4 linked regions of the Arabidopsis thaliana genome follow. The main gene of each other region encodes a partner of the protein of the gene in region 2 in a complex. Each region holds a gene or a part of one and is shown on either strand. Other genes may lie near its edges. The genes, in order: PSRP6, EMB3126, emb2394 and AT1G29070.

Region 1 (3,214 bases), on a different chromosome or scaffold from region 2:
CTTACCTGTAAATAGACTAATATTTGTTTATATAAAACCATCAAATAATATTGTAAACAAATATATATATATATATGTATGTATGTGTTATATATATGTATGTATGTGTTATATCGTGTATAACTATTTAATTTGTTTAATTCACTTGTTCGATTGTATCTTCTTCTTAAACTTAAATCATCTTTTGGTTATATGTGTGTGTCTAATAACTATGTAATCTTTCTTTCAATTCTAATAAAATAAAACAAGATGTTAAAAAAAAAAAAACTATTTAACTATCCATGGTTGATGACTCGTACTTAAGACAAATAATCAAATTTCGTGATTCTAAAAATGAATGAAATTGATTGATATATAAGTGGGATTAGAAAAAAAAGAGTCAGATAAGTGTTATCTCGCGGTTATAATTTCAACGGTGCTAAGATAAGGATAAGGTTTGCGAAACTATATACTAATGCAACAATGGGTACCGTAGGTTTGTGATACCTAATTTGATCTAACCAACAGAATCTCTTCGTACTAGTGTAATCGAGTGGCTGAGCTGTTGATATAGAGATACGTAGTACTATTATTGTAAATAAAGAACCCAAAGAATCAAATTTGTCGACAACAAAATAAGGGGTGATAATCCGATGCACGTGGATTTGGTGAATGTATTGGATAATGCTAGTCACGTAGAAGAAAGTAATCTTATTTTGGGCCATAATTTTAGTAAATGTTTTTGAGTCTACGTAAAGAAGAGTAATTTTCATGGCAATCGCAATTTTCGCTGACAATTGATTATTTTGATATAATGTGAAATTGGTTAGGTTGGTGATAGTAGCTAGTTTGAAGCCTAACTTAGGCTTGTTATTGAGGTATAATACATTATTAACCATAAGTATTAGACAGGTTTTGGACAAATATATTTATTGGTCGCTTTGGCAGCATTGAAAAACCCTAAAAGCCACTAGAATGGATGTCTTCGAATGTCAGTTCACATAAATGTTCGCTAGCTTAATTTTATTTTCTTTTTTAAAAGAGAGGAAGCAATGATAACATAAACATTTTTATAGTGTTTTTTTTGAAACAAAAAGTTAGTTTTCTTCCTCAAATTCGATAACTAAATTACACCATAAATGAGAATATGTTTTTAGTTAAGTAGTTAAATCCATTTGATTCTACCTTTTTTACCAGAGTTTGACTCTACTAAGTCGTGTTACTTCGCATAATAAGGATTGACTATGAATCGTGTCTTGTTTATAAAAAAAAGAAAAAAAAAATTACACAACAAAGTTAAGAAAATTCAAATTTATTAATTTAATAAGCATACTTTGAATATAAATAAATCCTAAAACTCAAACTAATAAAAAAAGTATTTTTTTGTGTAGTATTAAAAGATGCAGAATCCGAAATAATGTATTTTATTGTAGAAGTGATTCAAAAGACCTTATCTCGTAGTCACTTGTAGCATTATTGGTTTAAGGTTAAAGAAAACATTTAAAACTCTGTATACATCATACATGACATCTTTACAAATTGCAAAATATACATTTTTAATCAGCTACTCTATTCTTAAATTCCTTTAATTAACGAGGTTATACAGTTCGATACGTTTAAGCAACAAAAAGTTCGATGCCACTAATAATTTAATTTTTGTTCTCTTCTTATCTTATAGATTGTTGCAGCCTGCAGGCTTGCAGCATAACGAGTTACATAACTATATACAAAGGCCCAATAGACACCTCAAAGGCCCAATAAAAAAGCCCAGGAAAAACGAAAACGAAGATATGAAGTTCTTCTCTAATCCGAAGCAAGAGGCTCAAACTCACTTTCACTTGCACAAAGATAAGGAAACCATGTCTGTGTCAGCGATCTTTGGTACCGGAATCGTCACCGTTGCTGCTTCTCCGGTTCTCCGCCAATTTCAAGTTCCAAAATTGGGTAATGGAGGAGGATTAGGGATGGTGATAGAGTGTTCGTCGAGGCCACAGAAGAAATCGACGGCTCATCACAGGAAGACGAGGCCGAAGAAGACTCAGCCTTGGGACATTAAGAGAAAGCCTACTGTTTACGCTCCTCTTCCTCCTCTTCCGGCGGAATGGAGTCCGTTCACTCTCGCTTCTGACGACGGTGGTGCTGCCACTGCTGCGGGAGATTTGGTTTCAGGCGCTGCCTAGTTGGTATGAGTTATCTGCTGATTTGGTTGTAATCTAGTTTGAGAACTTTTGTTGTTGTTTACTGTGTTTTCAGTTTTCTGATGTTTGTTGTTGGGTTTGTTTGTGTTTGATTGGTGAATGAATGGACCAAATTTGCGATTTATAAAGCTTCAACCTTTCTCCTCTGTTTTTGAGTTTAAAGGTCTCAACTTTATAGTTTATAGCTCTCGTCATTGTCATCTATGTTGCTTCTCTATAATTGCTTTTTTCCTTTTGGGTCTCATTAATTTCTGCAAGTAGTAATTGAATTGGGATGACAAGAGTTTAAGTTTGATATGTGAAAATGAAAGCACAATGGTATCTGTTTTGTGGCGGTTGATGCTGGAGTTGTTGTCAAATGCTCTGTTTGCTGCCATAGCAATGGGAATGTAGCTTCTAAAGAGTACGGTATAGTATACCGCATTATTGGAATTTTAAAATTTCCCTTTAGATTGGATTCAGGTGAAACGGCAATGTGCTCTGCTCACCATAGTGCAACACTTGGTCTAAACACTCTATTGTAGATTTTTAAGCCAAGTGATCTAAAGTGTGTTTGATGAAGAGTTTCAGCAAAAACATTTTTAGAAATGTTTATATCAGTTATGGGTTGATCACTCTGATTCTTGAATCTATCTTGTATCGGTCTAGTCCCAGGAGAAATTTAGAAGATCGATTTATCTTGCATTGCATGTTTATGGAGTCAATTCCAAGATCAACATCAATGGCTATACATTTCATAAAGCACGCATACAGAGTACATCCCGTTGAACCCATTAAACCCTGACACCTTAAAAGCTTAAGTCAAATCATCTGGAGAAATACACAATGAAGATACAAATACAGAGAGTTCGAAAGAATAAATAGTGTGAAAACAGAGGCAATCTATGAGTTTAACACAAAAGAGTGGAACCAAAACCAGTTTTTTGGGAAGAATGAGCTTCACTTGGGATGTTAGTGCTAGAGTTTTCAATGTAAGTCTGCCACTGGCCCTTTGGAGATTCATTACCTTTTGCTTGATCCTTGAAACAACCATTAGC
Region 2 (4,801 bases):
AAATATGGCTTTATTAGTCTGTTTTAGTATAGATGATCACACAGTGAACACATGTTGGTTAAATTCTTGTGATATATGTGCCATAGATATTCCTTGTAACAATCTGTCGATACTTTGCCTGTTGATTGCAGACTGTGATTCCTCCACTCCTGCTGAAACTAGTGCACCGTTCATATACGAACAGCCAAAACCCAGGCATGAGAGGGGAAGCCCTAGTCAGGACACGGCGTGGCTGAGATCGGTGTGCTCAGATAACCCGCATAATCAGCTGAAAAGGTCAGCGAGCGTAGCTGATGCATTCCACAGAGAGAGGCAAGTTGAAATATGTGCAGTGGAGATGGAGTTGGAAAGGGGTTCACCAAAGGAACCTCGTTTCGAAGAGCTAGAGAGCATTGTGAGAATGAAGCAAGCAGAGGCAGAAATGTTCCAAGGGCGGGCCGATGATGCACGAAGAGAAGCAGAGGGACTGAAACGAATAGCAATAGCGAAGAAGGAGAAGATAGAAGAAGAGTACAATCGGAGAATGGGGAAGTTGAGTATGGAGGATGCACAGGAGAGAAGGAGGAGGAGGTACGAGGAGTTAGAGGCAATGCAGAGAGGGCAGAGAGAGTTTTATGAAATGAAGATGAGAATGGAGGAAGAGATGAGAGGGCTTCTCACCAAAATGGAAATGACGAAGCAGAGTCTGGCCTTGTAATATTTGTAGTAGTAAATCACATGTAATGTACACAGAAACCTCCTCCTCGTATGTAACCTAAAGATCAATGTAAGGTCTTTTCTTTTAGAGAGTACTAAAGAGTTCTGCGTCCTGACATGTACAGCCCCTTGCCAAATTTTAATAGGCAATAGTAAATAAATAACGACAAGAAGCAAATGGCCATCAAAGTGATACAAAGCAGTGAGGCGTGAAAAGATTACTAACAGACTAGACTTGGTGTTTCTCTTCTCTGTCTACACTGGCATTGCCCGTCTCCCAAAAGGACCCCATTTACAAATGGCGTTGTCGATTAGTTCGCAGTGGGAGGCTTGAAGTCTATCATCTCTCTTATGTTCAACTTGATGGAAGGCCCCATTGACGAGCATATGTGAGCGCTTTTCCAGTACACTCCTTTAGCTCCCTTTGGCTTGTTTGTCTCCACCGATTTCTGCATTTCATCATTTACTTTTCCCTCTTCATTTTTTTTTGTATTTTAAACCACAGAAATACGTAATAAGAATGGAGAATTAGCCTACCACTGCTGCAAGGAAGTTTATGAGAAGGTCTTCCTCTGTAAAATTAACTTTCCCAAATGGAATGTGAACAATCCCAGTTTTGTCTGCTCTGAATTCAACTTTCCCCTTCTTGAACTCTTCAATAGCCTGAGAGATTTATGCATCTTTAAGCCATGACTACCAGAATCAGGAAAAGATGTTGCAGAGTAGGCTTACCTGGGGAATGTTCGCTGTGACTGTACCAGCCTTGGGATTTGGCATGAGCCCCCGTGGTCCAAGAATCTTTCCCAGGCCAGCAACCTAAGCGCCAAGTTCAAGAATGTTAGAAAATAGATCACGAGTTACAAGTATCTCATGCCACCTTATTTGCCAAGCATGACGGTTTCATATGCTGTAACAAGTAGAACATTATATCATCAACACATACCTTGACCATCATATCCGGGGATGCAATCAGCTTGTCAAACTCCATGAAGCCTCCTTTAATCTGTTCGATTAAATCATCACTGCCCACAATATCTGCCCCTGCACTTTTGGCTTCATCAACCTTCTCACCTGGAAGTTCAGCATGGAAATGGTGCAAGCCAAAGATTTAGAAAGAATAAGCCACATGATACACAAGAACTCCATCCAATCAATATATAAATAAAAAGTCAATCGCACCAAACAATGTTGCATCTAGAGAAGTACTGACTGACTGACTGATACCGTAAACATTATCTCTGTCCTAAGTCCTAACAGTGAATTTGGTGACTGAAATGGTAAAGCATAATCTCTGTCCTAAGTCCTAGCAGTGAATTTGGTGGGGCAATATACCTTGTGCAAGAACAGCGACTATAACAGTCTGGCCAGTTCCCTTAGGCAGGCTCACCTATACAAAAAGACAATGCATTGAGATTAAAAAATGTTGTGGAATGAAGCAGCACAAGATAGAGTGTATATCCAGCAAAAGGCAAAGCAGACCGTTGCACGCAGCTGCTGGTCATTGTACTTAGGATCGATGTTGAGACGGAAATGGGCTTCAACAGACTCAACAAACCTTGTGTTGGCAGTTTGTTTAAGCAAAGAGATAGCAGTGTTGACATCATACTCCTTTTTGGTTTCCCTTAGCTTTTGGATTTCCAAAAACCTCTTAGACCTTGTCTGTCAATGGGTAAGCAAACAAAGTGATGATTCACGAGTAAAGGAAGCGAAATTGAAGTAGGTAAAGCACATACTCTATCTCTCTTGAGAACCAAAGCGGCTTTTCCTTTCTTAGGCTTGGGCGGATCAAGGACGGCGGTGGCGGTCTGCTCCAGGTCCTCCTCCGTGTCGAGGTCAGCCTCAGCGGCCACGGCGGAGACAATAAACTTGTGGTTGGAAGCTCTGTCAATAGCAGCACATCTCCGGTCCCTGGAACCCCCAAGGAGAAGAAGCGGGAAGCTCAAGTGGTTGGGTCTGGAGCTGGCAAAAGAGAAAAGAGATGGAGTAGGGGTAAGGTCCTGGGAACGAGTGGATGCGGCGGCGTATGCTAGCATGAGAGAGGAGTGAGTAGCGCAAGCAGCCATTGTTGGAGCTCTCTTTCTTTCTGGGTACAAAGAAGAAGAAGAAGAGTGCGAGTCTCCCTAATCCACTCCACGCCCAAGGGGATAACAACACCCCCTATTCTTTCTAAGCTATTATTCTCTGCGTGGCGGGCACCTTAGCTACCGTGTTCCTAGTGACACGTGTCTTCTTATGGACCATTAGATCTTTTAACAACCCACACGCGTATCCTCGTGACCTCTTCTCCTTCTCCTTCTTCTTCTTCCTTCTCTTTTCTCAAAAATCAGATTTCGAGTTTCTTCTTTCCCGCCCGTAAGAGAAACCCTACTCTGACTCTCCACTCCATTTGAGAGGTAAGTTCCGATTCCTTTTCTCTCAGCTTCAAATTTCCTGTGCTACTATTTCCCCAATTTCATTCATCTTCTGCTGACTCATTTTGGGTGTTTCACTGTAGACTGAGCTCGTTCCGATAAGGAGAGGAGATGTCTAACGTAACCGTCTGTGCGCGATTCAGGCCGCGAAGCTCTAAAGAGATGCGCGATCCCAGCAGAGATGGTGTCTGTGCTCGACCCATCGACGCTGAAACCTTCGTTTTCCAAGTTTGTCTACTCGACGCCGTGTGCTTGATTAATATTGTCTCTCTCTCTCTGTCTCTCAAACTCTATCTAGCGTTTTTACTTGCGTGTAGGATGACAAGGAAGATGAATTTACATTTAGCCTCGATAGAGTTTTTTATGAGGACTCTACCCAAGCTGCGGTTTATGAGTTTCTGGCTCTCCCCATCATGAGAGGTACTAATTGATTCCTTGATCTTCTCTTCTGGATTTTAGATCTAAACATTTGAGCACCAATCTTATGATTTTACAATGTAATCAACATTTTTGGTTTTGGTTTCCTCCTACCTTTGTCTTTTGCATCTTTTACCTTTGTACTACTACTACTACTTTCAGACGCTGTAAATGGTATAAACGGAACAATCATCACTTATGGACAGGTTTGTTCTTCTCCTGATCTCTTTTATCTGGAAATGCTTTCAATGTCTTTTTCTTAATTTGGCAGATTTTGATCTCAATTTGATCGTTTCATGTTATACTATGCAGACAGGGGCTGGGAAGACTTATTCCATGGAGGTCACCTAACTCATCTTGATACCTCTTCCTGTAGCACAAGGACCATTCCTTCTTCTGGCTCATTTTGGTTTTCTTCGATTGATTCAGGGACCAGGCATCCAGGACTGTGATGAGCACAATAAAGGACTTCTTCCAAGAGTGGTCCATGGGATGTTTGAGCAAATCAGCTCTTCCAATGATATTGCAAGATACACTGTTAAATTGTCTATGGTACTGACTTAAATGCACTTGCTATAAGTCTCCTTTCAAGCTCTCCTGTATAGACATCTTACGTGTCTTTTGTCTCCTCTAGGTTGAGATCTACATGGAGAAAGTCAGGTATTGTGTATGTAATTCCCTCTGATTTCTTCTAGGGTATATAGCTTATCGATAAATTCATATATCTCTCAGGGACCTGTTGGACTTATCAAAAGCAAACATACAGATCAAGGAGAACAAAACACAAGGAATACTCTTGTCAGGCGTTACAGAGGCTAGCTTCATTGTCTTATATCTTCTATTTGCTAGTGTTGAGAAAAATCTTTACTGGGTAGGCAAGTTTTAATCATTCGTTGCTTCAGGTGCCTGTATCAGATTCGGTGGAGGCATTACAACATCTATGCGTAAGATAGCAGCTACCCTAAGTTTCTTAATTGCCTTATACGGCCTTCTTCTTTCTTATTTCTGATGCCAATTGCCATTTCAGACCGGTTTAGCTAACCGCGCAGTTGGGGAAACCCGTATCCTCTTAGCTTTTACAGCACTTACTTGTTCAATGTTTCCCCATTTAGTCGATAGTGAGATTATGATTATGCTACTCCGAGTTGACTGAAAGGTTAAAACTGATTGAGAGTCATCTTGAAGAATGTTTCCAGTTTAACAATGAATGACAGAAATGAATATGTCCAGCAGTAGAAGCCACTGCGCCTACTTGTTCACAATCCAGCAGGATTCAG
Region 3 (4,141 bases), on a different chromosome or scaffold from region 2:
AAGAATCATAAGTAAACAGAGCTCCAACATTCACAGAGCTTGGCCTCTGTCTTAATGGCCGCAAAGAAGAAGAAGAAGAAGAAGACGAGTTTCTAGAGAAATTACTTCTACAAGCACATTCCTTTGGAACAACCCACAAGACAGAAACACATAACAACACAACTCTGATTGCTTTCGCCATGGAAACTTCTCTTATCATCACCAAAAATCCCATCTTTATCACAATTTCCAGCAAAAGCACTAGTTTTTCTTTGTCCTGGTCTCATATAACCATTTGATTTATTTGGAGTAACACCTGCGAAATAAACAATGCCCAACCTGAATCAAAATTGAGATTATAACAAAAGACAAAAAAGATGGTCCAGAAATCTGGTGAAAGAAGGCAAAACCAACCAAGAAATCGGGAGTTAGATTCTGTAGAGAGATTGGTGTATACAGATTTTTGTGTCTGTATATTTATTTATAGTGTATAAAATAATGTATTTATATGAGGCCCTTTGATTCTAGAAACTGGTGCTTTACATGTGCAAGTAAGAACTGAAAATAATGAAGTGTAAGAGGGCCGTCTTAAAGATGGTTCGCAGAGAAAGAAGCAAAAAGTGTAATAAATAATTCAATGAACAAATAACTAAAGATTATATATGTAAGAACATAAAGAAAAACAAAAATTAAAAGATCCAATTGAGAAAAAGAAGAAGCAACCTTGGAATAAATACGAGAAACAAACTTTAATCAGAGATCCATAATCTTCACAAGTAAACGAGTGATTTAGCACTAAGCATAAAGAAGAAAGACAGAGAAAAGAAGTCGAAGAAGCAGAAGAAGAACTGTTTCTGAGCTCAAGCAAAGAATAATTCATAATATTCTCTCTCCTTTTTTTTCCCTATTTTCTTCCTTATCATTACTTATTTTTTTGGTATTTTATGAAATTTTGTAAATTTTGTTTTGGAGTGCTATTTCTGGAGTGGTCAGTGAAGACGTAGGCCAAGGTGTGGGGTAGTATGATCGATGCTTTACTTGTGTCCTCATACTATTCGATAAATCAAATTTTTACGTTGGCTCTTATTGGTAACTATCATTTATTAAGGTAGTTGATGCATTTTTCTTTTTGGTTACAACGGATATAGTTAAATGGTAATTAGGGTAACTACGTATGACATGAGGCAAAATAATAATTGAAAATGTGAATGTGAGGAGTGACGACCTAATTGCTCCAAGGCCGCCTTCGTCAAAGAATAAGTCTCCTCAACGGTTGTCAAATCAATTTCACACAAAAAAAAAAGAAAAGAAAAAGATATTTTCAGACATAAATAGTAAAGTAATTGTACTATTGATTTCATATGATAAAAGGTGCATGAAACACATGGTCGACTATTTTTTGTCTTTAGAGTGTTCATTAAGGAATGTTATTAAAAAAAACTTATAAGAGCTGCATTTGTTATTACATAGTTCCTTATTGAAATTTTCATTTGTTAATTGTTAACACAAAATAAAATATGCCACTGAATCCACAAATATCTTGTCGGTATCGAACTTTTTATTTATTTAGAACAAGAATATCTTGACCAAATGAAATGTGAACCAGGAAAATAAATATACAGTTCATCTTTTTTTTCTTTGAATCTTCTCAATTTGTTGTTTGGATTTTTCTGAGGGTAAGGGCCCATTTCATTTTTAAATTTGTCTGTTAAGAGTAGTTTAAAATCCATGCCTTTAAAAGATTCGACTTGAAAACATACTTAATCGGGAAAGATGCACAATTTTGATCCAAACGCATCTACTAATAATCTATTGACTTCATTAATCTAATCCAAACTCCACGTTCATTGGGTAAATTTTGTGAACAGTTATTATAATAATGGGCCTAGAAACAGTGAGATAATAGGCCATGATCAATATAGATAAATGGGTTACACAAATAATGAATTGTCCCACAGAAGGATGGTTAAAAGTAATGGGCCGAAAATAGTGAGCTAATGGGCCGTGAAAGTAATGATTTGAAAGAGGGGATTACAGAAGCTGACGATGGATAAGTCTTTTCTGGATAAAACGCTCTTCTTCTTCTCTTCATCCTCCTTCTGGAGCAGAGCTTAGAGCTCCATCATCAAATCTTATCAATGGCTTCCTCACTCGTCTCATCTTTTCAACCCAGGTACTTTTCATATACTACAAACCATAGAGCTTCTTCATTCCGCTAGGGTTTCGTTTTCTTTACTTGGCATTTTCTACTCAAAAATCTCTATAAACTGTGTTCATGAGCCTCCCAAGTATAAGGAATCTCTTTGAATGGGTTATTTTTATCTTTTTAAATCGATGGCAATGTTGAATTGGTTATGGACTCTTGAAATTGTGGATTTTTATTTTGGGAATTTGAATGTGTTATGCGGAACTCACTGTGTAAAAAGCAGGATTCTAGAGGGGTTTTTAGCCATGGAAACTGAAAGTTCTACAAGAATGTTTCTCTTCCTTAATCTAACGTTATCTTTGTTCCAATAACAGTTTCTGTGTATTGGTTTAGATATATATCTGGTAGAGTTTTACTTTCTTGACATGTTTTATCTGAAGATAGATAGATAACTTCCCCTTTGTTTTAGGTCAGCATTTTTGGGAGATAGAAATGTGTTCAAGGTCTCAAGCACACCTTTTGCTCAAGTGGGTTACTCCAGTAAGACCATTGAGTGCAAAGAATCAAGGATAGGAAAGCAACCGATCGCTGTACCTTCCAATGTAACCATTGCATTGGAAGGTCAAGACTTGAAAGTGAAGGGTCCATTAGGAGAGCTGGCTTTAACTTACCCACGCGAAGTTGAGCTTACAAAGGAAGAATCCGGTTTCTTAAGGGTCAAAAAAACCGTCGAAACTAGAAGAGCCAACCAAATGCACGGCCTTTTCAGGTTACAAACTTCTCATCTTTTCTTGTCATCCAATGAAGTCCTTAACTTTTTTGAGGTTAAAAGATCGTTTGTTCTCTAATCTTTTTTTTTAACTTCTGTGTGACTTTTAGGACGCTTACCGATAACATGGTTGTGGGAGTATCAAAGGGATTTGAGAAAAAGCTTATACTTGTGGGTGTTGGTTATCGTGCAACAGTAGACGGAAAGGAGCTGGTGCTAAATCTCGGGTTTTCACACCCGGTGAAGATGCAGATACCGGATAGTCTGAAAGTGAAAGTGGAAGAGAACACAAGAATCACTGTGAGTGGATACGACAAGAGCGAAATCGGGCAGTTTGCTGCAACGGTTAGGAAGTGGAGGCCACCAGAGCCATACAAGGGGAAAGGAGTCAAGTATTCCGATGAGATAGTTCGGAGGAAGGAAGGAAAAGCTGGAAAGAAGAAATGATCTTCATTTTTCATTATTATCTACTTACTTATCTCTTCCTTTCAATGTTTATGTGTATTTGCTCAAATTTGTTTAGAAATGAAGATGTTTGTGTTGGGATTCTTGAGTAAGTTTTTAAAGGAACCCATTAATTGTTTTTGATGCTCTGACAAAAATTTCTTTAGTGCTTTGATTGAACAAGAACTTGGGCACAAAGTGCCTCATCGGTGTGATTCTATTGTTATGTTTCCTTATTGAACCAAACCAATCCAAATCGGACAAAAATCATGGTAGATAAACTTTTTAAAACAATTTTTTAATCTATTCTTCTTTTTTTTAATTACAAATTTTCTTATTTTCTTATATCTAAAAAATCGTAACAGTAAGATATTAATATCTGTATTCTTAATTTGGTAGATAACTTTTTAAAAAACGAAAATTTCCTATAAGAATAATAATAGTCGGAAATAAAACAAAAAACAATATCATGGTGATTATTCTTATTTGCTTATATCTTCTTCTTTTTCACAATTTTTTTTTAAAAAAAATATTTACAAAATTTTCTTATTTGCTTATATATATAAAAAATCAGTAAGATATTAATATCGATTTTTTAATTTGGTAGATAACTTTTTTCAAACGATAAATTTCCTAAAAACAATAAAATATTCGGAAATAAACAAAAACCCTGATTGAAGAAAAGTCTTTTTGTTTATCAGTTCACCGGAGGCAAAAATCGTCTCTCGCTTGAGCTGCGAAGATGCAAGCAGTAAAAAGATCCAGGAGACATGTTGAAGAAGAGCCAACAATGGTAGAACCTA
Region 4 (3,996 bases), on a different chromosome or scaffold from region 2:
AAAGTACAAGTATTTATCTTTGGTGTGTGATTTGTAGAGAAGGGCTAAGCACTAGAAATGCTTCAGGTTCAGAGGAAATTCAGCTGAGGATTGATCCTATGCACTCTGACCTGGATGATGAGATTCTAGGTCTCCATGGCCAAGTCAGGCAATTGAAAAATGTAAGAAACCCTCTAAATCCCATTTCGATCTTTCTACTTTTTATCTATAGTGCCATTTGTATTGTCTTCTTGTGGTTCTGAAGGATCATTGTTCTCTTTAAGCTTTAAGTTGATCATATGAATTTGGAAATTTGTCTTCTTTTCGGTTTTGACAGTGGTTAGAGCTTGGTTAATTAGTTGTGTAGGTGTTTTTTTGTTCAGGGTACTATGATAATGTTATTGTTCACAATACTTATCAGTCAGTCCACGATTAATTAGTTGAATCCACTTGTCTGATGTCTTTTGTATACATCTGTGGTTATTGTTTTATATCACCACCCTTCTTGAAGGAATCAGTCGACATTCTCTACAATTCCTTGTGTTTTACCTTGCACTTTTGCGCATTATTTATCCCTCATGATTTTTTGTTATATCGTTGATCGCTTATTTTGATGCAGATTGCTCAAGAAATTGGGTCAGAAGCAAAGTCTCAGAGGGACTTCTTAGATGAACTGGTATGTTGTTGATGTCCCTTTAGTTTTTTCTTTATCCATCATAGTAAATTGCAATGTAAGCACTTAACATCAGTAACATGCATTCATTTACTCTTCTTTACCTTTAAGATGAATCACTGATTATATATAGTATATCCGAATATCGGTTTCCTATAACTTGTTTCAGATGTCTCTGTTCATTATTAGTTGGGAAAATATAGTTTCATCCTAACATATGTTAGATAACTTTAACCGTAGCTTACAAAACCAATGAATCTTGATAAATCCAAAGTGTAGATTATGTTTACTTAGGATCTGGTCTGAACGCTGGTGGTGGGTAGGATTAGATATCTTCAATCTCACCTAGTTTGGTGAAATGCAGCAGGAAATGGTTACAGCTTATCATTGAGTTCCTGCCACTTTGTCAATGAGAATGTTGGTGTTGAATGTGTTCATTGCTTTTAGTTCGTTCTAGTTTTTTCTTTTGTTACCTAGAAGAACATCCTAGAGAAGATAATGACAAACAACTAGATTTGGTAGTGAGACTGCAGAAACAAGCATTTAGTGCTGTTATAAGCAAAATAAAATAAGTAGACGAAATGTTGTTCTTGTCTGAAACATAAAACGCTTCAATGGTATTTTGTTTTTGTTTGTGACAGCAAATGACATTGATCAGAGCGCAAGCAGGGGTGAAGAACAACATAAGGAAACTGAACCTAAGCATAATCCGTAGTGGTAACAACCACATAATGCACGTAGTTCTTTTCGCGCTCCTCCTCTTCTTTATCCTCTACATGTGGTCCAAGATGTTCAAAAGATAGATAGAGAGACTCATGGCATACTTGTGTTACCCCCCAAAAAAAAACCCTTGATGAATGTTGGATAAGTTGTAGAAAATATCCTCTAGATTACAAACATTTTGTGGTTCTTCTCGTTACCTGTTATATAGAGTGCCTGTTTTTAACAGTTTACATGAAGCAAAATTGTATCACAGAACAACAGCATGAGATATTTTAGACCAGTTCAAATCTGGCCTTAACTTGATTAATTACCCGTCCGGTCCAATTCAGTATTGGGCTTTTATAGTCTTATGGGCTGAAGTGTCGTGATACGTGTATTATTATGGTTGGTTCTTATGCGTAAGTTTATGGTGGTATCGTCCGTAGACGATAGAGGTTCCACACTATGTAAAGGAGACCGGAGAAACAAAGGAACTGGGTTTGGAGATAAGAAGTGGGAACTTGAATGGCTTCCTTATCCACTTCCGTTGTAGCTTCGGCTTCGTCGCGTTTATGGAATCCTGCTGCCTCCAACGGCAAGATTTGCGTTCCTTCTGCTTCGCTTTCTCTGCGTACGGGTTGTAGACGGAGTTCGTCCTCTCTCACTTCTTCCGCTTCTTCGCAATTGCTTCATTGCTCGTTTCTCTCGTCGCCTGTTTCCCTAGCGTCTCCATTTTCTGGTACATCTTAAATTGGTTCGAATTATTGTTTGTGTTTAGCTTCTGGTGATGTAATGTATCAAGTTCTTTTACCCAATTTTGATTTTTTTTTCTGGTTCTTTGGGTTTGGTTGATTTATCACTATTCTCGTGTGTTAGGCTCTAGCTTACTTTGCAAACACATATATTCGAAGCTTTTTTAGAAGAATTTGGGAATTGTGAAACATAGTTGTCAATGGTGAATTCGATTTGGGAGTGTGAGTGAAAGAAGCCATTTTGTTTGTTTCTGATATTTCTTGTTAAGTTTATAACAACAAGTGAAGATAACATTTTGCAACTTAAGCCTCAATTTCTGATATCTTAGCTCATGTATTTGTAGCCGCAAGTAAATGTTGTTTGATTTTTAGTACAAAAATCTTTTAGCTCATGTCGATTATTTAGGTACAATGGTTATAGATTTGCTTCAATATGTCACATGAACTTGTTCCTCCTCCTTTGATCATAATTTTCTTGTAAAGTATATTGTACGACCATTGTAGCTAGGCTAAGATTTGAGCAGTGAATTATAAGCTTTGCCAATTTAGCAACAGACGTTATGGTTATAGCTCAAGAGTTAAAAGGGTAACCTAGGAGAATGCATTAAAGTCATTTTGGATTTGTCTGGGTCTTGATTCTGAGCAGTGTGTTGAGAGTTTGGTATTGTATGGTGAGTTCTTTGGGTAATTAAAGGAAGGAGTTTACCGGTTCCAATATTATCAGCTTGATACACTATCAAACCTATAATGTCACATTGATCAAAATGGTGTTGCTGTCTTTTCAGGTTTGTCCATTGCGTTTGATCTCAGCAGTCAAACTAGTGGACTGAATGGCCAGAGACGCAGAGGCCTTGTGGTTAGAGCTGGAAAAGCTGCTCTGTGTCAAACTAAGAGAAGCAGATCAAGAAAATCTCTAGCTAGGACTCATGGTTTCCGTAGAAGGATGAGGACCACTAGCGGTAGAGCAACCATAAAGCGTCGACGTGCCAAGGGACGTTGGAACCTCTGTCCCAAGTCCAACCCTAGCAGCGGCAAACGGGCTTGAAGTTTGTTTCTCTCTTCACTCTATCTGTAATCTTGTTTCATGTGCTTTTTTTCCACCAGAAGATACAATGAGAAACATGGTTCGTTGAGCTCTTTTCTGCGTTTTAACTCTCTTGCATCCTTGATTCGTTTATAAATCAATGTTCTTGGAATTCATCACATGTACTACTATACTACTTGCTTCATTGAATTTGTTACTACTCGAAGTCTCAACTTCAAAGCCATAATTACTTAAAGATCTCTTCTGGCCACCAGGATAATTCTGGTGTGTAAGAATTGTTCAGATTCCAAGTAGTGTTAATGGTTGCTGAAAGTTGATGTATATAGTTTGGGGTTCAATCCCTGAAGGATTTTACTTTCATTTACTAGTTTTATTTCAACCTAACAATTACTTTTAAGTACTAACCCTAAATTATATTCCCCTTAAAAAGAAAACTGCACCAAAAACAAACTAGTTAAGAAAAATGAAACCAAAACTAAAAAAGAAAAGTTCCTTCTTATTGGAAATTAGGGAGGGATCAGATTGTGTAAAAAAGAGAGCGCCCAATAGTCGTAACAGGCTTTGGGCGGAACGCTCTTCTCGCAATATAAGCGAGTTTTTACCATTCATCATATCCCCTTTAACTTGCCTGAAGGATCATGCCTTTTACGTAATTAGCTCTTTCTTTTTTATAGGCATGTTACTACCATCACTATCTCTACCTAAACGATGTGGGACAAAATAAACTATTCTCTTGTTTGAAATAAGGTTTCTTATCTCAAATTCATATATCTTTGTTTTTTAAAGTGGGTCTATAAAAGGCCTCTGTAGCTCTCTTTTTTTAAGGTGGGCCGATAAAAGGCCTC

What was found.
Region 1: EMB3126 (region 2) and PSRP6 share a complex: the UniProt entries of both Arabidopsis thaliana proteins name them as parts of the 50S ribosomal subunit.
Region 3: EMB3126 (region 2) and emb2394 share a complex: the UniProt entries of both Arabidopsis thaliana proteins name them as parts of the 50S ribosomal subunit.
Region 4: EMB3126 (region 2) and AT1G29070 share a complex: the UniProt entries of both Arabidopsis thaliana proteins name them as parts of the 50S ribosomal subunit.

What each region holds. Positions count from the first base shown.
Region 1 is NC_003076.8:5,905,979-5,909,192, forward strand, and holds PSRP6 (plastid-specific 50S ribosomal protein 6), read left to right. Parts: upstream 1-1,610; 5' UTR 1,611-1,769; coding exon 1,770-2,159; 3' UTR 2,160-2,486; downstream 2,487-3,214. Other genes in the region: CSA1 (disease resistance protein (TIR-NBS-LRR class)), read right to left, coding at 2,896-2,957, 3,094-3,214.
Region 2 is NC_003074.8:23,442,227-23,447,027, reverse strand, and holds EMB3126 (Ribosomal protein L1p/L10e family), read right to left. Parts: upstream 2,826-4,801; 5' UTR 2,760-2,825; coding exon 2,430-2,759; intron 2,356-2,429; coding exon 2,176-2,355; intron 2,084-2,175; coding exon 2,029-2,083; exon of another isoform or gene 1,768-2,028; coding exon 1,640-1,767; intron 1,513-1,639; coding exon 1,429-1,512; intron 1,360-1,428; coding exon 1,234-1,359; intron 1,146-1,233; coding exon 1,008-1,145; 3' UTR 698-1,007; downstream 1-697. Other genes in the region: TTA2 (fibronectin type III domain protein (DUF1423)), read left to right, coding at 132-697; AT3G63480 (ATP binding microtubule motor family protein), read left to right, coding at 3,219-3,335, 3,425-3,527, 3,687-3,730, 3,837-3,866, 3,954-4,076, 4,159-4,184, 4,257-4,350, 4,427-4,468 and 2 more. UniProt on the Arabidopsis thaliana protein: This protein binds directly to 23S ribosomal RNA.
Region 3 is NC_003070.9:1,501,715-1,505,855, reverse strand, and holds emb2394 (Ribosomal protein L6 family), read left to right. Parts: upstream 1-2,002; 5' UTR 2,003-2,117; coding exon 2,118-2,152; intron 2,153-2,594; coding exon 2,595-2,894; intron 2,895-3,004; coding exon 3,005-3,341; 3' UTR 3,342-3,605; downstream 3,606-4,141. Other genes in the region: GLR3.4 (glutamate receptor 3.4), read right to left, coding at 1-214; AXR1 (NAD(P)-binding Rossmann-fold superfamily protein), read left to right, coding at 4,081-4,141. UniProt on the Arabidopsis thaliana protein: This protein binds directly to 23S ribosomal RNA and is located at the aminoacyl-tRNA binding site of the peptidyltransferase center.
Region 4 is NC_003070.9:10,148,005-10,152,000, forward strand, and holds AT1G29070 (Ribosomal protein L34), read left to right. Parts: upstream 1-1,786; 5' UTR 1,787-1,879; coding exon 1,880-2,093; intron 2,094-2,891; coding exon 2,892-3,151; 3' UTR 3,152-3,403; downstream 3,404-3,996. Other genes in the region: AT1G29060 (Target SNARE coiled-coil domain protein), read left to right, coding at 38-161, 599-655, 1,294-1,455. UniProt on the Arabidopsis thaliana protein: This protein binds directly to 23S ribosomal RNA.